Linked DNA regions of Rhinolophus ferrumequinum. The protein of the gene in region 1 purifies or fractionates together with the protein of each later gene. This does not show direct contact. Links are inferred from orthologs where the notes say so. Each region holds a gene or a part of one and is shown on either strand. Other genes may lie near its edges.

Region 1 (10,919 bases):
CCAAGCTGTTGCAAAGCCTCTTGGGAACTGTAGTTTACACGGTCCTCAGAGGGTTTTTCTGGTTTAGTAAGGGCGCCGCACAGCCCTTTGGGAGTCGTAGTTTTCGCAGCTCGAAGGCCTGCTGTAGGGAAATGAGTAAGACTAGGCTTAGTTCCTGACTTTATCCTCAGCGGACTACCTGGTGCTCCAGTTCGGCCGCGTTGCCCCAGACATGTTCACCATGGACTTCCGCTTCCCGCTTTGCCCTCTCCAAGCCTTCGCCATCTGCTTGTCCAGTTTCGATGGGAAACTGGCATGTGAGTAATCCAATGAAATAACAGTATTCTCATAAGCTCCTGTGCCTGCTCATTTGGAGGAATGGCTCCAGCATACCTTCTTTTGCACCACCTTACTAATCACCAACACTTATTACAAGCCTCCTGGGTACCCAATCCTGGGTTCTAGGGAGTGGGCTATTCAGCACCTGCTTTAGTGGGACTCACAGTGGATCATGGGAGATGGGTCTTAAACAACAAAAAATTAAAATGATCCTCTGCTATACAAAAGCACATGGAGGCACAAATCGGTGAGAGCGAGGCGGCTCTAAAAAAGTGGTTTTCATAGTATACCTGAAGAACTCAGAGGAACTGGCTGAACCAGGGGGGTCAGAGTTGGGAACAATCAATAGGCACAGCTCATACAAAGATCTTAAGGTGGAAGGGGGCTTGGTTGGTTTGGGAAAATGAAAGGTTAGTGTGGCAGGAGCCTGGAGAACCAATGGAGGAGGGGCAGGGTATGAAGCTGGACAGGGTGCAGGACATTTGGACCACTCTTGTTTGATTTGAACTGCTGGACAGATCTTATGATGTCAGAGGAGAGTTCTAAGCTGGAAACATAAACTAAACTAAGATAGTATTTGAAGACATGCATGGGTGAGAGTGAGAAAAATTATAATACTAGCTAACACATATTTTTAATTGACAAGCATTGTTTTAAATATGAACTTCTCTGGGACCTTATAATCCCTTAAGGTACGTGCAGTTGTTAGCCACATTTTACAGATAAGGAAACTGAGTCAGTGGACACAGGGCTTATAAATGTGAAATGAGGCAGCTGAAAACCTTGAACTCACCATGTAAAGGCCAGTAGGAGGATGAGTCTTTATATTCCAGAGAGGCACATAAAACTGGAGCTTAACCCTTTTTTAGAGATCAGTGAGTCCAGCTCCCAATCCCCTTGGGGAGATAACTGTCCCCATTTTAATAAAATTCAGGTGAAAGCCAAAGAAAAACTACAAAACTCACCATCCTTGTTCAAAAGGAGCCTCAGGACGAGGAGGCAAATTTGAAGGATGATGGGAAATGTAGTTTATCCTCTATTAAGACACTTTATGCTATTACCCCCAACTACTTCTGGGACCCAGGAGTAGTAGACACTGTCAATTCAGATACATACGGTGACATTGTTCACTACAAATCAAAAGGCTTTATTTCTTAAACCAACTGGTAAAAAAAAAATAAATAGTTAATAACACGCAAACCACATGACCTTAGCCACGTCTCCCACTGAGGTCAAGGCAAGGAGACAGGGACACATAAAGAGGGGAGGGAGAGGCCACAGCATGGCTCAAGGCCATGGCCTGGGCAGTGGATGTGGGCAAAGTCTGGGTAGGGGCAGATATGGCAGTCAGGGAAGGGGGAGGGTTCCCGAGGCGTACCCAGGCCCTGGCCCGGGCTGCATGGGTGAGGCAGGGACCCAGCTTCTCCTGGGCCTGGGCAATTCGGCGGGCAAAGCGGCTGCGATCCCGGGCAAGCTGCTCCCAGGGGCCCCGGCGGGCAGCCTGGGCCGGTCCCGCCCAGACAGCCAGGAAATGGATGGAGACCTTCTCAGAGAAGCGTACCTGGAGACAGACCGGCACAGACATGGGGAGACACAGAAATACAGACATAAGATACACAGGGCCAAAGGGGAGAGGGGGAAGAGAGAGAGAGAACCAGACAAAATTAGTTGTCTGTCAAAATTAGTAACACGAAGATGCTTGCTATCTTAGTCACCTGCCTGCCACTGGACTCTCCATCTGACTCACTGAAGGTGGTAGAGGTCTCTGGGATTGACATTCTCTGGGGCTGACATGAGTCACAGCCGCTTCCTTTTCTCATGGGGGCCCAGCCTCTTGCAAAGGATTACATTACAGTGAACACAGCCCTCCCAGGGGAGTTCACATGCAACCCTCTGTAACACATGGGGAAACCAGGAGTCCCAGCTCGCAGCCCCCTCCTCCCCAACACTCAAGAATCTGAGCTCTTAGCACCCACCTTTCTGGCTTTTTGGGGGGTCTCAGGGTCCAGATGCTGGGTGGTGGTTTCTGCGGACTTGAGGGAGTTGAGCCGTCTTTGCAGTCGGAGGGGCAGCCGAGGAGGAGCCCAGGGAGGTGGTGGCTTCTCTCCAGGTAAATAGATGGTCACTCGGAAGGGGTGGGGCTCTTCCTCCCACTCCTCAGCAGCTTCCTTTCCCTCTGTCTCCTCTCCAGATGGATATGCCCAGCCTCTGAGGAGGGCACTCTGGGCCTGAAGGGAAGAACTTGGCCCTGAGTCAGCTGTTTCTGAATCATCTTTTTCATCCTCATCTTCCTCCTCCGAGTCTTCCCCTGGTCGATACACCCAGGCCCTCAAGAAGGTGCTTGTGGGAGGGGCAGAAGAGGGACCCTCAGCTTCTCCCTCTTCTTCAGCTGCTCCTGAATCACTGTCCTCATCTTCCTCCTCCGAGTCTTCCCCTGGTCGATATACCCAGGCCCTCAAGAAGGTGCTTGTGGGAGGGACAGAAGAGGGACCCTCAGCTTCTCCCTCTTCTTCAGCTGCTCCTGAATCACTGTCCTCATCTTCCTCCTCCGAGTCCTCCCCTGGTCGATACACCCAGGCCCTCAAGAAGGTGCTTGTGGGAGGGGCAGAAGAGGGACCCTCAGCTTCTCCCTCTTCTTCAGCTGCTCCTGAATCACTGTCCTCATCTTCCTCCTCCGAGTCCTCCCCTGGTCGATACACCCAGGCCCTCAAGAAGGTGCTTGTGGGAGGGACAGAAGAGAGACCCTCAGCTTCTCCCTCTTCTTCAGCTGCTCCTGAATCACTGTCCTCATCTTCCTCCTCCGAGTCCTCCCCTGGTTGATACACCCAGGCCCTCAAGAAGGTGCTTGTGGGAGGGGCAGAAGAGGGACCCTCAGCTTCTCCCTCTTCTTCAGCTGCTCCTGAATCACTGTCCTCATCTTCCTCCTCCGAGTCCTCCCCTGGTCGATACACCCAGGCCCTCAAGAAGGTGCTTGTGGGAGGGGCAGAAGAGGGACCCTCAGCTTCTCCCTCTTCTTCAGCTGCTCCTGAATCACTGTCCTCATCTTCCTCCTCCGAGTCTTCCCCTGGTCGATATACCCAGGCCCTCAAGAAGGTGCTTGTGGGAGGGACAGAAGAGAGACCCTCAGCTTCTCCCTCTTCTTCAGCTGCTCCTGAATCACTGTCCTCATCTTCCTCCTCCGAGTCCTCCCCTGGTTGATACACCCAGGCCCTCAAGAAGGTGCTTGTGGGAGGGGCAGAAGAGGGACCCTCAGCTTCTCCCTCTTCTTCAGCTGCTCCTGAATCACTGTCCTCATCTTCCTCCTCCGAGTCCTCCCCTGGTCGATACACCCAGGCCCTCAAGAAGGTGCTTGTGTGTGAGTCGGAAGACAGACCCTCAGCTTCCCCTGAAACACTGTCCTCATCTTCTTCATCATCTTCCTCTGTGATCTTACTGGGTTGATGTTGCCAGGTCCTGAGCAGGGGCCTCGGGGCTAGAACTGAGTGTGGCCCTAGGTCAGCTTTTTTCTCAGCCTTTCCATCCTCCTCTCCCTCCTCTTCTGAACAACACTCCCAGGTGCTGGGGTAGGGGCCTGCAGATGAAGGGGAAATAGAGGGCGTACTGACTTCTTTATTCTCTGTTCTTTTTTCCTCCTTGGCACAAGCTTCTTCCTCCCCTGCACAATACGCCCAAGCTCTGGGCTTGGGTCCCAGAGATAAGGTGGAAGTACATGTTCTGGAAGCTTCTTTGTTTACAGCTTCTCTGTCCTCTTCCTCCTCCCCTTCCACCCCTGGGTGGCACCCCCAGTGTGATGGAGGGAAAGAGAAGAATGTGGTCACTTTATCTTCAGCAACTCCTCCTTCCTCAAATTCCTCCTCCCCAGGAGGGCCTCGCAGGGTTCTTCTCAAAAGGCTGGGGGACAGGAAAGTAGGCTGGCCATCTATATATTCACTTCCCTGCTCCCTAGGGACACTGGTTGCTTCTTCCCTACCATAGTCTTCATCATCTGAAAGTCCCCAGGCTTCAAGAAGAGAATTGTTGGCTTTCAGATCAGGGCGGGCGCCCCAGGATGCTTCTCCATCCTCTTCAGTAGCCTCCCCTTGAGGGTGCCTGCCCCAGGGGGCATAGTGGGCAGCCAAAGAAGCCTTAGCTTCTCCCTCCAGGCCAGCTTCTCCCTGATCTGCGCTTGTTATTGATTTCAGCAGCCAGGGCTCTGGAGCTCCTGGGCCCCTCAGCCGGCTCCAGGCCCAGCTGAGAAAGCCCATCAGTGGTGACAGGAGGAAGAAGGGGTGGGCATCCCTCCAGGGGGTGAGCTGATAGTGCACTTGGCGTGGGGCCATTTGTCTGGGCTGGGAAAAAGGAATAAAGTTTAGAAGGCATTTAGGAAATAGTAGCATCAGGGGATGACTGCTGAGTCATAGCAACAGAAGTACACAAATAGCAACATGAGAGTCCCTGCCCACATTCCTTTCTGATTCCAGCCACTCCCATCTCTGTCCCTGGGTTCCCACATCTCCTCTCAATACCCAGAAGTCTGGGTCCCCATTTTCTCCTTTCTTAGACCCAAGAGTCCAAGCCCCCAGACCGCTCCAGAAGTCCTAGTCCCAAGAATCAAGAACACAGGTCCTGTACTTGCTCCCCTTGGGGACAAAGTCCCAGTCCCTGGTTCTCTTATCCTCCTGAGGATTGACAAACCAGGCCTGCAACACCTTCCTCCCTCGGAGACTCAAAAATTCCGACTCCTCCCCTCTCCCAATGGTCCCTCACTGGGGGTGAGTCTGGCTCCCAGACCCCTTTCCCTCAGGCTCAGCACTTCAGGCTCCCAATTCCTCTACAGCCTAAGTTGGAGCCCTGGCGTCCGTTCCGTCCCACCCCTCCCCAGACACAGGAGTTCAGGCTCCCAGGCCCTCTTCCTCTGGACCAAGGAATCCTAGCCCCGAGCCCTCCTGTCTCAGTACCTAGAAGTACCAAGTTCTCTCCTCATTACAGACTAGGAGACTGATCCCCAGCCCCCAACCCCTGGGGATCCATTTCTTCTCATCCCTCACTCACCGGCTGGGGGCTGCGCGTCACCCCGGGGGCAGAAGGGCCGGTTCGGGCTGCCACAAGCGATCGCAGGTCCGGACGGCTCGGGAGGCCAGCGCTTTCATCTCGCCCTCCGGCGTCGGGATCAGGGATTCAAGTTATCACCGGTCGCTGCGAGCGCTGTCGCGACAAACGGGCGCGGGGTCGTGCAGGATGGCGCATGTGATCAACAACAGGACTAGGAACCGATCCAACTAGGGCTGACACCGCCCGCAAGGGTTTTATAATCTAACGCGGCCGGACGTGCTGACGTCACGAGGAGAGGCGGGTTTTCGAAACGAAGACGTGAGAAAACAGGAAGGGAAAATGAGGTGGGAATTCTCGCGGGGATTCCGGCTTTGTGGTGTCACCGCAGCCTTTCGAAGTTGGTCACGCCCCGAAACAAGCGAGCTGTCAATCAAACGTGGCTTAAGCACCGAGGGAGCTTTCTCAGCCCTTGTTTTGGACAAATGCCTTTCCCACCCCAATTTAAGCGGCAGGCCCCCGTCTAGAGTCTCGCACCTTCACATCTGGTCCGCTTCTCCGCCCCCCCTCCCCCTGCGGAAGAGTCTTGCTGTTTTCATTTCACAGATGAGGAAACTGAGGCTTGGGAATGAAGTCACCTGCTCAAGATGGTCACAGCTGAGTCCAGGTACATTACAAATGAGAACAATGTTAAGCATCTTGAAGGCAGGCCCTTTGATTTGCTCACTGCTTTCTTCTCAGTGCCAGACACATAGTGGATACTCAACAAATATTTGGTGAGTAGACAGGAAACCAAAAGCTCAGACCCCATCGGGGCTTCATGCACAAGGCTCCATGTCTGGATTTCACCTGCTTCAAACTCGGACTCGCCCAAAAGCTCTGCTTACACAAACTGAAATTCTGGGTGGGTGGCATCGACTGAACCTCAAGGGAGCAGGATGTCTGCCACAAGATCCAGACCCAAGGACATGGTCCCAATTCCCCAGCCCAATCCCCCTCCCTGGTCCATAATTTTGCTCCTCAAAATATGCCCAGTAACCATGTCTCCCTCCTGAGAGGGTCAGCCTCAGTCTAAAACAGAATTCTCACCTGCATCTGAGGTGGAGATCTGACCATGTCTACTGGACCCTGCTCCAGCCAGAATCCAGGAATCCAGGGCCACTCCTCCTCCCTGGAGGATCTGGACTCAGCGCCACACTTCCAGACCCCAGGCTCCATTCACAACTCGGGAGTCCTGAGTCCTCCTCACACCTTCCCAGGTACTCAGGAGTCTGAAACCCCACCCCTTCCAAGATCCAAGCAACCTCCATTCTAGGTCCCAATGACCCAGGAACCTGACCCCAATTAGCACACAGGGGCCCCGATCTGGAGGCCTAGCTCCTACTCTCCCAACATTTAAGATAATCAGCCTCATCCCTTATGGAATCCTGGTTCTCCCTGTCCCAGCCCAGAAGGGACCCAGGAGTTGGGGGAGCAGCCCCTCCCCTCTCCTGTGGGGGCAGCTGAGCCAGGGGTCAGGCCGTGGTGGGAAGGCCAAGAGGGGCGGGGTCAGCGGGGATTGGGAGGGGAGACAGCAGCGTGGGCGGCTGGCAGACCGAGGGAAAGACCAGCAGAAGGAAAGAGAAACTGGGAGAGGGAGGAAGGGAGAAAGTGAAGAGAACCTGGGAGAGGAGGAAACAGCAGATGTGGAGGGCCATAGAGAGAGAGAGAGAGAAGAAAAAGGAAGAGATTGAGTGAGGGAGGGAGAGAGAGAGAGATGGCAAGACAGAGAGAGAGAGAATGAGACAGAGACTTAAGGAAGAAACTGTGAGTTCGACAGAAAAAGATTTGGACAGAAACAGAAAGATTGGGAGAGAAAATGATATGGGTGTGTGTGTGTGTGAGAGAGACAGAAAGTGAGACTGGAGACAGAGACAGACTAAAAGAAAGGGAGAATGTGAGAGGAAGAGAGACCATAGAGACAAGAGACAAAGACAAAAAGAGTGAGTGAGCATATAAGTGAAACTGAGGCCTAGGAGAGGCAGCACCTAAGAGACAGAGGAGGGAGGCTGTGGCTGGTGCCCCAGCGCCCACACTGCCCTCTTGTCCCCTGTCTTTGGGACCCCAGAGCCGGTAAGTTCCCTGGCTGGGCTGGGAGGGGCTGTCTGGGTGTGCATTCCTGATGCCCCAGGGCTTGGCAGGGATGTCTCAGGGTTGCTTGTGGGAGGGCAAGAGACAGGTAGCTGGGGGCAGCCGGAAAGAGGCAGGGAATGGGGGGATCCCTAAGCACAGAGGGTCAAATTCCTTGCCAGAGCTCAGGGGGCAAGAATAAAGGAGCCCCTATTCTCTGTCTTGGGCTGCCGACAGCTGCCCCCACCCGCAGCTGCCAGTGCCGCCCACCTCTCTTGGCATCACTCTTGGTATGTGGCCCTGGGCCAGGGCCTCCCCAGCCCCCCAGTCCCCAAACAACAGGCTCTTTCTCCTCAGCCTCCTCCGACCTGGGACCCCCTGACCCCGTCTCTGTCCCCAGCCGGGTCAGCTGCAGAGACATGCACACAGCCCTTTTCTTTCTCTCCCCAAGCCCTTGATGGAGGAGGGCAGACCTCGGAGCAGCCTCAGCCTGGCCAGCAGCGCCTCTACCATCTCCTCACTCAGCAGCCTGAACACCAAGGTTGGAGCGTCTGGCTGGGGCTGGGGAGGAGGGCAGGGCTCTGGGCTGCCCCATCCTCCTGTTTTCTAGCTTTGGGTTCGGTGCCACCCCAGGGACTCTGGTTGTTAAGAGCAAGGATCCTTAGCAACGGGGCCTGCCAGACCTAGTTAGGTCCCAAATTGCCTACTAGCTGCAGCTAGGAATTCAGAGGCACTTCCAGCTGTTCCCACCCCTTGTATTTTCCTGATTTGAAGCCAGAGTAAAAAACCCTGCTTGACTCTGGTTGCTAACCTAAGGCCACTCCCCAGCCATGAGGCGCCCCCTAGGAACTCAGAAGCAGTGGCTACTCTGGATTAGGACTGAGAACTCCCTGTCTTATCTCTAGCCATCCAATCTACCCAATTCTGAAATTTGACAAGGAAAGAGCTTTTTGACAATAAGGCTCCATGAGGCCTGAAACACTTACATCCCAAATCATCACTCCAGCCCATAGTTCAGTGATGACACTCATTTTCTTGTCCTCCTGTCATTCCTGTCACTCATTTCCATTTCCCCAAGTTCAGAATCCATAGATTCAATCCTGACCTTGGTCACACCATCCCCAAGGGCATCCCGGGGGGTGAGTTGCAAAGAAGCGGGGATGCTGGCTATTGGGATGGAGGGATTTGGAGCCTCTCTCTACCGGGACATGGTTGCTAAAGGATATCACTCCTTGGCACTGAAGCGTCCTTTGATTCTGGCTGACCCATCACCAGAGACTCAGCTTGGAGGTCCCTCCTGATTATGGGGACCTCTCAGGCAGTATTTCCAGTTCAGATCCCAAAGGCTGTATCACATCTCTGGCTCTGGTGGCCAAGGGCGTCCTCTCTTTGGCAGTGGATGCTTGATTCCCAAATTCCTTCTCTGTCAGCCAGTAGCCTCTTCCTTGCCTCCAAACACCTCCCTCCACCCATAAAAAGTGTCTTTCAATGCTGCACTGTACATACCCAATTCTGATCTGAAAACTCAGCTCCCTCCTTGACCTGGTTTCTCTGGGCAGTCCAGCAAGGGGGTCCCCTGTACCACCTCCCCAAGTCCATCGGGTGTCCTGTTCACTTCTCTCTTCCTTCTCTCCTCAGAAGTCCACCCGGGCAGTAAGCAAGGTGCACACCTTCGGGAAGAGGGGCAATGCGCTCAGGAGGGACCCCAACCTCCCGGTGCACATCCGAGGCTGGCTGCATAAGCAGGTGGAGTGAGCAGGAGAAGGGAAAGGACACTCCAAGTGACGTTCGTTAGAGGCTGTGTCCCGGGCTGTCTGCTGTTTCTCTCCTTCCAAGTCTCCAAATTGGTCTTTTTTGCTATCACTGCTTCTCCCCTTATTCTGTCATTGTTTCATTCATTCATTCATTCATTGAGTGACCATTTCTTGAACATTTATTTACAATTACAATGTGCCAAGCCCTGGGACACACGTCACACAAATAGGGCAAGTATCTGTATTACATTCAAGATGGAGGTGGAGTGGGGATGGATAACAAATTAATAAACATAATTGGAATAAATGAAATAACATATAATATGTATATTACATAATATAAAATTAGAATATATGAAATAAAATAAGTGATTGCAGATTGTAGGAAGTGTTGAGAAGGGCTGTGAAGAAATCATATAGGGATGTGCTCGAAAGTGGCTGAGAGGATGAGAGCTGCCTTTGACTGTGGTCGGGGAAGGCATCTCTGAGGAGATAACATTTGAGCTGAGAACTAAGTGACAAGAAGGAGCTCATCATGCTAAGATCTGGGGCCAGAGGGACTGCAAAAGCAAAAGGCTCTGCAGCAGGCCATCGCTGGGTGTTTGGAGCAAGCCAAGGGAAGAGAGAGGACGGGCGTCTGAGCAGCGATTCTCAAAGTGCAGTCCGAGACCAGCAGTGTCAGAATCATCTGAAACTTGCTAGAAAGGAGAATTGTCAGGCCCCACCCCAGATCTACTGACTTCAGAACTCTGGGGATGAGACCCAGGAATCTGGTTTTAACAAGCCCTCCTGGTGAATTTTATGCACTCCCAAGTTTGAGATTCCATGTCAGCCAGTAAACGAGGGTAAGGAATTTGCAATTTATTCTAAGTTTGACGGTAAGCTCTGTTTTGAGCAGGGACTCACATGATCTGATTTATCATTTTAAAAGATCCTGTTGCTTCCAGGGGAAACCTATTGAAGAGAAGAGGGGCACAAGGTTGGGGATGGACTGGTTCTGGCAGCAGCTCAGTGCCCATTTCCTGGCCTCTCTGTGTCTCAGGCTCCAGAGTAATGGGACCAAGTCTTCATATATATAGCCCCTGCCCACGTGTGGTACAGTATTGTGTTCCAGCCTTCCCCGTAACTTCTCAACCTCCAGTTGACAGACGAGAAAACGTGAGGGTCCTAGTGAGAATTGACTTGTTTAGGGGAAGTTTGAAAGTGGTGGAGTCAAACACAGGTCCGACTGTGTCTGGGATCTATGTCCTCTCAACCACAGCACACTGTTTCAGTTCACCTGAATCTATTGTATCAAACACGTGTCTCTGCTCCTTCCATCTCTCTGGGTCTCTGTCTCCAAGCGTCACTGTCTCCATCTCCTTTTTTCCTCTCCCCTCTATTCAGGTCTCTCCTCCCACTCTGTCTCCCTAGGACAGCTCTGGGCTTCGGCTCTGGAAACGCCGCTGGTTCGTCCTCTCCGGCCATTGCCTCTTCTATTACAAGGGTCAGTGCTCCAGCTGGATGGGGCGGGCGCCCTTTCCTTTAGCCCTTCAGATCCCCTGTGATCCCTCACCCCAGCCCTTCTTTCGCAGACAGCCGCGAGGAGAGCGTCCTGGGCAGCGTTCTGCTCCCCAGCTATAGTATCAGGCCAGATGGACCAGGAGCCCCCCGAGGGCGGCGCTTCACCTTCACCGTGAGTCCGTCCAACCCCCATGGGCACTAAGGTAC
Region 2 (11,451 bases), on another chromosome or scaffold:
AAGACTCCCGGGGGATGCCTGTAACTGTGGGTCATACTGAACCCTACAGAGAATATTTTTTTCCCTATCCATACATTCCATTTCACTTAAAGGAAGCACTTTATGGCTTCTCTTTGGTACATCCAAATGCCAGCATCACTACTTTGTACATTGGGGACATTATTAAGTAAAATAAGGGTTATCGGAACACAGGCACTGTAATATCTTAACAGTCAATCTGATAACTGAGATGATAACCAGGTGACTAATGGGCAGGCAGTATATAGTGTGGACACGCTGGACAAAGGGATGATTCATGTCCTGGGCAGGACAATGAGAGATTTCACCATGTTACCCAGACTGCCATGCAATTTAAAACTTATAAATTGTTTAATTACCATGGCCTGAAAATATTAAATGGAAAATTCCTCTGGAAATAAAATTCAAGTTATCTGACCAATAATAAAAACTAGTCCTGGGATGCACTAATTAAACCATTACTAAGAGATCTTGCTTAGATGGCTAATTGGCATCCTTCTCTAACAACTTTGTACGTAAAAGAGTTTAGGTATAAAAGGAGGAGTTTGTTTTTTTACGGCCGTAGGCAATTTACAAATAATATATTTTACTGTAAACCAATTTAAATCTGAAATTTGTATTTTAGATACTTTTCTCACTTACCTTTTTCTTTGTCCACTCTAATGACAACCACACATTCATTCCTGCCAATTCGGATGAGTTTGTTTATAGAACGAATACGCCTTCTGGACAACTCACTAAGAAGAATCATGCCTTCGATATTGTTGTATTCCAGAAGGCTGACATAAGCCCCCATTTCAGCAATGGACCTTACATTCACCATCACTACATCTTCCACCTCAGGAAATTTGTGTTGATAAAATCTACAACTTAGACCCGGCATTCTGAAATTTAAACAAAAGAATAAAGTAAGTGCTCAGTTAAAGTCAAAATAAAGAAATGTCCATTTTCTACATCTTGCCAGAAGGTGAGCAGTTGTTAGTCTTCTCACCTCTTTAAACTTCTTAAATGGTATCAGAAAACAGATAATGTTCAGGAACCAAGCTTTAATTTTTATTTTGCTCCACACTTTTGTAAGGCTTGGATGATTCTCTACCATCAGTTTCAGAGGAATCATAAAAAGTAATGACCATCTATAAAGTACAACTAACCTCTGAGACCTAAAGATTAAAGGTACACCTTAAGAGTAAAATACCATTTTAATACCACCACTTCAAGAAATAACAAATGATGGGAAGCATCACTACTATTATAAACCTATCAGAAAATTCTAAAGCTGTTCTTTCTCCAAATCAGCTAGGACTGTAATGCTACTACCCATTACATAAAGGGAAGAATCTTCTGATTACTTAAACCCTAACCATATATTAAAGGATACACCCTATAAGTAAGTATAGCCAAAATTACAGTATCATATGACAGGACAAAAACTAAAAGTTTATTAATCAGGAAAGGTATTAAATTTAACCAAAACGTATTCTCAGATTTTTTTCCCCCTCTTAAAACAAACTTGAATTTAATTCACAATTACCATAATTTCTAGTTTCTACTTTTCCCATTACTCCCAAATATTCTTTTCTTTTGTTGAATAAGTATACTAAATCTTGAGAATAGCTTTATAGATCTACATTACTATAAAGTTCAAGTTTCTCTTAACTGCCAAGTATATATATATTTAAAACTATTCCCTTTGATCCACCCAACCTACTTTCAGCACCACTCCTTTTATGATCCACAATCCTGAAATCATACCATAAGTAGAAATATATTTTTAAAGGGAAGCTCTCAAACTAATCATAGTTGATGATTTTCATGTTTTTCTGCTAACCGTAACCAGTTTACTGTTGTCAAAGCTCAGAAGACAGGCAATAGGATCTAAAGGCCTATGAAAAATTTGTGAAAAATCACTAACTTATTTTTTTCTTAATAATTGGGAAATAAAGATAAAACATCCACACCCAGTTCACAGAACCCTGGAATTCTGCTGCAGTGTGATTTGAGAACTGCTAACTGCATCCGTATGTAACTTCCCAGTGGCTTCTGATTTATACATCTTTTTATGACCTACAGGGTCTTATATGATCTGGCCACTGCCTGTCTCCCTGAGGTACCACTTTCTCCCTAGTTCTCCCCATTTTATATTTGAAGAAAATGAAGCACAGGTTAAGCAACTTGTTCTGTTATATACTGCTAAAAAGTGATAGTGTCAGAATTTGAACCTATGAAGAACCATAGTGTACTATTCATCAGGCTATATTTTCTCTCAATATTATAAATATATTACAATCAGAAAATCTTAAACAAAAAGCAACATTAACATACATATCCAATGCTGGAGCAATGAATACCACAGTTAGTGAAAACTTTCAGTACTAATCTATCCTGTTTAACCAAAAAATAAAATAAAATAAAATAAAATAAAGCAGCGTATTAGTAACAGTGACAGAGATGTATTTCTCTTGTAGCTTGACAAAATAGAAATTTAGCAAATAAAGGAAAGTAGACAATGGCCAGAATGACCCACCAAGAAACAGCTGAGCTGGTTGTTTCATTTTTAAACAGGGCTTTTTTTTAAAAAAAAAAGCTCGTCGAATATCTGTAAAGTACTAAAATTTGAGAGCTAAAAATGTTTTAAACTGAGTATCAAAATAAATGATGCCATGAAAATGTGTGAAATAGTTTTAAGAGCTTTAACATGTGTTAACCACATTTACTTATCAAGTTTCTTCAAATAGTAAAGCTGATGATTTTGGGGAAGGCAGGCTTAATTTGATGGTTAAAGAAAACAGACAATAGTGTAAAAGAACCCTGTAGGGAGCTATAAATGTTACAGCTTTAGGAAGTATAAGTCTCTTTGTAATATGTAGGGTAAATAAAGGAATACTGCTGATGTTATTTACAGTAAAGACAGAAAATAGCCGGTAAGTACAAAAAGAATACATTTCACAAACAACCTGCCTGTTGATTGATAGATTTTGAACATATCTCTTTATTTATGGTAATAATTACACTAACTTTTAAAAAATCAGTCAGGAAAATAGAAGCCACAAGCTAGGTATACATTGGCCATTTATATAACTTTCAAAGCACTTTGACTTATTTTATTTGGCTCTCAGTAAGTCCTCGTCAAGACTCAGTGAACTTTGGGAATAGCTATAGATGTGGGTACCAGTCCTGGCTCTGACTACGTAGCTGTGGTTGCTTGGGAAATGTATTCCCATTGAAGTGTAGTTTCTAGTCTGTGGCATGTACCTCACAGATTTGTGGAGAGCATCACATGAAACAAAAATGCATGTAAAAACAGTTAGAAAGTATAATGTGCTACACAAATATAAGAAATTAAAAGGCAAAGGAAGTATTATTTCCATTTGTTACTTGATTTGTTAAAAAATCATTTTTTAGTATCTACTATGCACTAAGCACTACTGATACAATTAAGACTACTACCTAAAAAATTTAAGTAAAGACTGGGAAACAAACTAATAAGCAAATAATTGCAATATAAGGTATTATGAAAGGAACACAGTGAAATGATCAATTAACTGGGAACCAAGGACCAGAATTAAGTGACTTCCTTAAGGACAAATCTTTAAGTATGAGAACAGGAACTAAAACCAAGTCTTCTGACATTAAATACAGAATATTTTTAACCCTCAGAGCCTCAATATGTCAGAGTACTACAATGCAGTATGTGTTCTTTGGTAAAGAACACCTATTTTTCAGAATACACTAACTGAACTCCAAGTTAATTTCAAATAACCTGCATTGTCAGTAATTTTGCCTTGTCAGATGGTAGGTAGGACTTCTTTCTTAAACCAGTGCATGGTCTGGGGTGGCTGGATGACTCAGTTGGTCAGAGCAGGAGCTCTGAAAAACAGGGTTGCGGGTTCAATTCCCTCATGGGATGGTGGGCTGCTCCCCCTGCAACCAAAGATTGAAAACCATGGCTGGACTTGGAGCTGAGCTGCACCCTCCACAATCAGATTGAAGGACAATGACTTGGAGCTGATGGGCCCTGGAGAAACACAGTTTCCCAATAGTCCCCAATTAAAAAAAAAAACAAAAAAAACAACCAGCAAAAAAACAACCAGCGCATGGTCAAGTCACCACAATGGATACAGGAAATCCACATCCCTTTCCAAAGTAAAGCATTATGTGATAGAAACAATTCTTGCAATAACTGTAATTAAGCTCTAACACTTAAGCTCTCTGCATCCTAGTTTTTAGTATAGGAGTGCTACACAACAAAGCTTTCAAACTATTTCACTGTAGTTGAAATAGGAAACACCAATATCTACAAACATTACTGTGCACCTTTTTGAGATGTTTTGAGAATTAGTAATTGTCATTTGGCATCAGATGAACTGAGAATTGGCAGTAAAGTTCTACTCATATAAGTAATTTCCACACCGTTGAAAGACAGAGTTACAACTTTTTTCCCTTAAATAACAACTTCAATCGGGAGAAAAAACAGACTTTTCTGTTACATCTTTTCTCCAAGAAACAATGTTTCCTGTTTAATCAACATTAAAGTAGCCTAAGTTTTGGGGGGGGGGTAACAAAAAAGACCTCAGGCTGAATATTAGTATTTAACCCCAAAATTCCCCCATCTTTTCAGTTTTGCATAACTGTAAGACCACACCATGTAATACTACAAGTCTGTTCTCACCGGTGCTGAAATACAGCAAACCGACGCGAAGCGTAATAAACTCTTTAAAAGTATGTTTTAGTTTCAATTCAAGGAGTGACTCATTCCACAGAAATGCCCAACTCGAGCGCTAAGGTAAAACGAACTTCAATTTTTAAAAATAAAGTATCGAATAAACTGCTCTTGGGCCCTTTGTGAGACAGCTTTTGTCAACACTGTGATCCATCCTACTGGTCCCTTGCAGTGTACGGTCTGGTTTCCACGGAGAGGTAGTATTTGCTGGAGCGCAAGAGGAAAAAACAAAAAACAAAACCAAAAAAACGATGGATGGAATTCTCAGGCCGGGAAGGAGCAGCGCTCGGCCCTGGTGCAGGAGTGTCACAGCGTTCTCCCGAGGCCGCCCCACCGCAAGGAGTCCTCAACTTTAAGCATATTGAAGAGGCTGTACAGTCACTTGGCCCATTTTCCTTCACGAGGTGCCTCCGCTCGTACAACGCCACCTGCAACTCGGGAAGACCGACACGGAGCCCGCCAGGGGTGTCGGTGGTGTCCAGACACTTCTCGCCCAGGGACGGGAGAGGTGTTAGCCCGGGGCCTACCCTCTCTCGACCACCCATGTCACTACACACAACCAAAGTGAGTTCTTCGAGAAACCGATCTAGGGGACTAGTTACCCGAGGTATGTCTGTGGATCCCGCAGTGGGGTCCCGCGCCGCGCTCTTTAATCCGAGAGATCAGACTTGATCCACCCGCAGCAGCCGCCGATCCTCCTCAGCGTGCGCTTCGCTCAACCCTACCGCGCATGCGGAACCACCTCGTCTCACGCAAGCGCCAACAGAATAGAGGCCCTCTTCGTCACTGACCATAGAGTCCGGGTCCTCCGGGAACAAGGAAGAAGGAAGATCCCAGGAGAACCTGAAAAGTACGTTTTTTTCGCTACCGTTAGTTGTCGGTAAGTAACCCTTCAAGGCGCAGGGAGAAGTAGAACTCTCATTCTTTGTTCCTGAAGAATAAATCCTCTCTCAAAGCTTCTGCCAACCATGAGGTGGCGCTGTGACCAAAAATGACAAGCGCAGGAAGAGAAAGAGTATACTCTTCTCTCTCGTTCTCTCGTCCCACGCGCAGAGCCTTGCGCAGCCGCCGGGGAGCTGGAGCGGGAGGGGCTAGGAAGCTGACCGGAATTGAGGTGCCGTTGGGTGGTGCGCGCGCCTGAACATCCGGGCATCGCCGGCTTTAGGCCTTTTTCCCTCCTCCCACGCCCACCCCCAAACCCACGTACCAACAGGAAGCGGAAGTGGCGGGTGCATATCCCAGCTGCCTCTTAGCAACGCGCGGGGTGTCAAGTGACACAGCCAGCTGACTCCGGTAAAGGAAGACGCTGTGGCTGGGTCTGTTGCAGCTACGATTGCCCGGCCGGGGACCCGAGCCACAGAGTCATCGTCAGAATGTCGGGCAAAGATCGAATTGAAATCTTTCCTTCGCGAATGTAAGTAAAAGAACGGGACGAGCATCCGTCATAGGCTCAGGAACGCCGGGTCCGAGCCGCGGTTCCTTCGTACCCGGGACCAGCAGCGAGGTTCCTGGTTTTCTGGGCGGATCCTGAGCTTCCCAGTCTCTCTTCGTGAGTTTAGGGCGAGGCTCTGTGACGGCCCCCTCACACATTCCTCTGAGTGAACCAGACTGGTCCCAGCCCATAGGAACAGACACCCGGCCTGCTGGCTTTTGTGGAGGTCCGCTGACTTTACTCTTCAATCGAGCCATTCATTCCACACTCCCTATTGAACCGGGCACTGGATGTATGTAACCGAATCGTCACCACTCGTGCCCTGACCAGAACTCAATTTAGCGGAGAGATGGATAAGCCAACGAGGTTTGATAAATGGATCGAGAAGGGAAGTTTTCTGCAGGGGGAAGTGTATAGAAGAGACTTCTAAGCCATATGGGGGTTGAATCGAAATGCTGTAGCGTAGACGTTAGATTCAATCGTGGATCCCCTTATTTTCCAAGATCTCATGAAATGTCACCTGCGGTGGGAAGATACCCCTCAGTTTCTCAGGCACTTCTTTTGCTCTCTTACCACCGTGCACCTTGTTCAGACCTCTGTTAATATCACCCATTAATCACTTTGTAAAAATGAATAGTATTTGTTTACATGCCTTTCCCCCTGGACTGTGAGGTTTCTGCAGGATCGGAGCGTCTTGATCATGATTCCATAGACTGTCCACAAAAAAAATGTTCCTTGAATGAACTCTTGTCTTGGAATCTGCTCCGACGTGGGCTGTCTTTCGTTTTTGGACTGAATTTTTTGGCAGGAGAAATAGCATGTCGCCCTAGGTGTTTGAAGAATATTTTGAGGTTTTCTCTAAAGAGAAAGTCTCTAAAGAATATTTTGAGGTTTTCTCAAATGTACCTAACAATGTGTGGAAAGAAAAGATTGTTCTTATTTGCCCCCTCCTCCTTTTTCCTCTTTTTTATTTCCCCCAGTGAAGAGCAGAAAATCAGTTTTGGCTCTGACATTTAGATCTTTTGATTGTGGTCCTATCTCTTTGGGAGTATTGTTGTTTTTCTTCATGCTGACCTTTTTCTCAGAGAATCTGAGGACTTTTAAAATGAAAGAAGTATATTCAAAGCCCAAACCTTAATTTCTGTCTCTGCCTACGTGGCTACAGCTATTAATTAAATGAAGGGGTTTGGGCTTTTGGTTTATTTTTTAACTTTACCTACTGACTTTCTAATAGCAGTTTGTAGTAGGTGGGAATCAAGGCAGTAGTGGAGAAAGGTAATGCCTGTAAAATAGATAAGGGTCAGGACTACCCTGGGGTAGTGAGAACTGCAGAATTTCCAGCCCTTAATGATTGAGTCCTGCCAGACCTCTGCACCAGAGACAGCCAAACTCCAGCGTTGCTTCTAGGAAGCTTAAGCTGTGTTCTTAGGATGACCCAGCCTCCAGTAATATGTCTGCCTGAGAAAGCTCAGCTGCTGTCAGAAGTTACTGTTCTAGCCAACACCTGACGATAGGCCCCTTTCTTAGGGCATTTACTGAAAAGGACTTACAATTATGAATTCTTCATTTTCCCTTTGAGATGTATATACCTCTCCTACAATTTAGAAGTGTCTTTCTCAAGGACCTGAAAACGATTTCTTTGAAATGTAGTCATCAGGAAGGATAGGGCCTTCATCTCCCATTCTCTGTGGGAGGAAGGAATCCTACCTTCCATAATGGCCAGCTAGTGGACACAGCTGGCCTAATCCCGTTTCCACTGACCAACCCTTCGTAATTTTTCACTTCTGACTCCCCTTGAGTGCCTTCTAGCTCCCCTCCCTCACTCTTCCTTTAACATGCCCAGTCTTCTCTGCACAAATTGGAATGGAGTGCAGTTCTTTTCCCCCTACTGTCAGTGGTTACTGAATAAAACCTGTTTTCAACGCTTTAACTAATATTTGGCTGTGTTTGTAGTCAGAATGTTAACAGTTTTTTGTTTTCACTTGGAGACTGAGAGGTGAAAATAAATTTATTTGGCCTTAGACAAGAAGAATGATAGGTTTGTGAAGGTGGAAATTGCTATTTGAGTGCACTCAGCTTGCTGTTTGAGAGGAAAATCAGGTGCAGGAAGTAACCCGCTTCTCTAAATATTTTCTGCTTCTCTAAATATTTTCCAGAGGCTTAGCAGCAGGTACTTTGTCATGCAGTCAGATGTCTTTGATTCAGCTGGAAACAAAGTTATTATCCTAGCTGAAGGTCAAACACTTTTCAGTAGGATTTAGCAGTTCTGAAACTTGTGAAAGAACAGATGTTTTAAGAGCTAGGCTAGAAAATACATTAGTGACTTCTGTTTCAGACAGTTCCAGTGTTATCCTGTGAAATGAGGCTGACACCTCCTTAGGCACCAGAGAGAGCAAAACAAGTTTAGGGGGGAATCAAATAGAGTCAACAGAAGTCAGTCAAATCCAGGTTATACTTACAAGGGCTGTAAGTATAGTATGTCAAGTTGTTTTTCTTCAAGTCTCAAGAATGAAAATTGACCTATTTCGCAGAGATGCCATTACCTAGGAGAAAATCAAAATTAGCATGTTAAATTCAATTTCATCAACCAGTTTGCCTTTTTACTATGAACTTGCTGGAATCTGCAGTACTAGGGTTAGACTTAAATTTGATTCGACTCCTTGAGCCCAAATTCTGGTGGTTAGTGTCAACAATACGGTGTGTTTAAATGTACACATTGGGGTGGCTAGCTCCTGCTTAGGCTGGAAACTGAACCAGCTTCACTTGGTCCAGTCAGTGCAGAGTCAGTCACTGACAGCTAGAGAGACAACTATTCATCTGATGGTATTTTTAATCTGTAGGGGAGGCAGTGTGGCATGTTGGGGTACAGTGGACTTAAGTTTGAGCCTTAGTATGAGCCTTGGGCAATCACTGGAGTCAAAAATCCGGTTCAAGTTCTGCTCTGCCTTTTCTTCACTAAGTAGCTGTGGCAAAGTTGTTTCACTTTTCTGAGCCTCATTTTCCTAACTTTCAGGATAATGTCTGAAGTCCTTTCCAGCTATAGAATTATCTCAGTAACCTTTGCCCAGTGGTAAAAGATTTCAATATAATCTAAGAATTTAGCCAAAAAGTCCATTAATATGTACTGTTTTGCAGTTGGTTGTAACACTAGTCGTATGAAATTAAATCTCTTTAAACAAATCACTTTAAGTATTTATGTTACACGATCTATTGTTGAATCTTATTACCCATTTTTCCCCCCCATTATTAAATTTTATCTGGCATATGGTAGCAAGAAGAGAAATGTCAATTTCTGCTGTTGCTTTCTCGACTTTGGTATTGGGGTTTCTGATGGGAAAGACTGAAATAAGGAGGTAAGGAGATATGAGTTTCTTGTCACTTCTCAGGAGTCATTACTTATATATGTCATTGACAAGTTACCTAAAGTCATTTGTTACCTAATTTGTTATATCAAGTCATTTGCAAATTAATAAAATGATTGGTAGTAGAGTCTTGACTGATATCAAAAATACTATAATGCCCTGCTCTTTAAAATAACATTTACATAATCCATGAAAAGTATTAAGTTATACTTGTTGAGGAATCATAAATAGTTGGACTATATAGAAAAACCCAAAAAACAAGTATAACTATTATTATGGCTCTCATTTCATTAGCAAACAGGTAAATACACTCAAACAGAACTGATTCTGAGTTCAGCATCTATCTGTAGGTACACAGGCCTTGTCAGTGACTTGGGACAGCTGTCTACCTCTGGTGTCGGTGGTTTCTCGTCCTTGAGGAGTCTGATTTCCGTAGACAGGAGTAAATGACTCTTCGCAGTCAGGTGCCTGATAAGGTCCCTTCCAGTGAGGTTGGAGAGTGTCTTATTAGATGTTCCTTCCAATAAAAAAAAATCTCCAGGTGTTTAATGCCACACTTTTAACAGAAAAAGTAGTAACTGGCTGTGGAATAAAATGCCAAAGGTACAAAACAATATAATAAAAAGCAAATCTATTTTTTCTCAGTCAGCCCCCTTTCTCAAAGGAAACTGTTAGCAGTTTCTGTGAATCCTTTCGAGAACAGGTCTCTGTATCTGTGTAAGCATATTTACCCCTTACTTTGCATAGCTAAGACAATAAATATAATAGAAAGAGCACATGGAGATCTGCCTTCCTCTTTTTTTATGGCTGCATATCCATTTTATAATGAACCATGATTTATGGAACTTTTAACATGTATCCACTCTTTAGCTATTACAAATAAGGCTGGAATACACCGTGTATTGTTTTTGTACACATGCAGGAGTAAATCTGTAGGATAAATTCCTCAAAGTGGAATTGTTGGTCCTGAAGGTAAGAACATTTCAAATTTTAATATATATTAGTGGACAGATTATTTTTTAAATCTTTAATATGCCTCTAATGGAAATACAGGTGTTGTTTTAACTTACACATCAAATAAGTAAACTATGCCGACATCATAAAATAGGGCTCATGATAGATTTTATTATAATTTAATAAATACTTATTCCATATATTGATTAAAAAATTGTTTCTGTTTTAAATAACCTTCTCATTTATGAAACACTGAGAGTGGAATTCCACGGTATTGAGAAATCAGTGAAGCCTGTCAGGTACAAAGGCTATATATATTCTTATTCTCGTGACATCAAAGAACAAAGCATAATTTTAACATTGTATTGGGCAGGTATTTTTATTTCTGTTAAACAAGGGGAGTAAATGCCTTTAACTGTTTATATAGGGCACAGACCATCATGAAGGCTCGATTAAAAGGAGCACAGACAGGTCGAAATCTCCTAAAGAAGAAATCTGATGCCTTAACTCTTCGATTTCGACAGATCCTAAAGAAGATCATAGAGGTAGAGTGAACTCTGCTTAGAACAGTATTTATTTTAGAAATATCTCAGGAAAATCCAACATGGCTTGTTGACATTTTAATTTTCCTTTAAGTTATTTTAATGAATTTTTTTTCTTTCAAAAGTAAAAATAACCATTATAAAGTACCAAGTTGCACATAGCTTAATACAATAAAATCCAAACTCCTTCCTCTTAATTTTTTTTTGTTGCCAATTTGTCGGGCTAAAATTGGTATCTTATTTTAATTTGCACTATTGATTTTTTGTGAGGTTGAGCATCTTGTTGTGCTTACGGGTAATTTGATTTTCTTGGTGAATTTACTTTTTTGTAGAAGTTCTATATATTTCAAGTTAGTATATAAAATGCTAAAAATATTGTCTCCAAGTCTTTTGCTTATCTTTTAACTTTAAAAAAAATGTTAT

Evidence for each region.
Region 2: the proteins of PPP1R15A (region 1) and EIF2S1 purify together in Homo sapiens (affinity purification with western blotting; 4 studies listed by BioGRID and IntAct, with this or other methods). This does not show direct contact. The link is inferred for Rhinolophus ferrumequinum from reciprocal best matches to the Homo sapiens genes PPP1R15A and EIF2S1.

What each region holds. Positions count from the first base shown.
Region 1 is NC_046298.1:44,265,356-44,276,274, reverse strand, and holds PPP1R15A (protein phosphatase 1 regulatory subunit 15A), read right to left. Parts: upstream 5,619-10,919; 5' UTR 5,350-5,618; intron 4,647-5,349; 5' UTR 4,638-4,646; coding exon 2,295-4,637; intron 1,880-2,294; coding exon 1,529-1,879; 3' UTR 1,445-1,528; downstream 1-1,444. Other genes in the region: TULP2 (tubby-related protein 2), read left to right, coding at 171-304; PLEKHA4 (pleckstrin homology domain-containing family A member 4), read left to right, coding at 7,913-7,996, 9,094-9,201, 10,623-10,695, 10,784-10,884. UniProt on the Homo sapiens protein: Recruits the serine/threonine-protein phosphatase PPP1CA to prevents excessive phosphorylation of the translation initiation factor eIF-2A/EIF2S1, thereby reversing the shut-off of protein synthesis initiated by stress-inducible kinases and facilitating recovery of cells from stress.
Region 2 is NC_046289.1:29,309,405-29,320,855, forward strand, and holds the start of EIF2S1 (eukaryotic translation initiation factor 2 subunit 1), read right to left. Parts: upstream 5,482-11,451; 5' UTR 5,341-5,481; intron 903-5,340; 5' UTR 902-902; coding exon 661-901; intron 1-660. Other genes in the region: ATP6V1D (V-type proton ATPase subunit D), read left to right, coding at 6,112-6,152, 10,914-11,031. UniProt on the Homo sapiens protein: Member of the eIF2 complex that functions in the early steps of protein synthesis by forming a ternary complex with GTP and initiator tRNA. This complex binds to a 40S ribosomal subunit, followed by mRNA binding to form a 43S pre-initiation complex (43S PIC).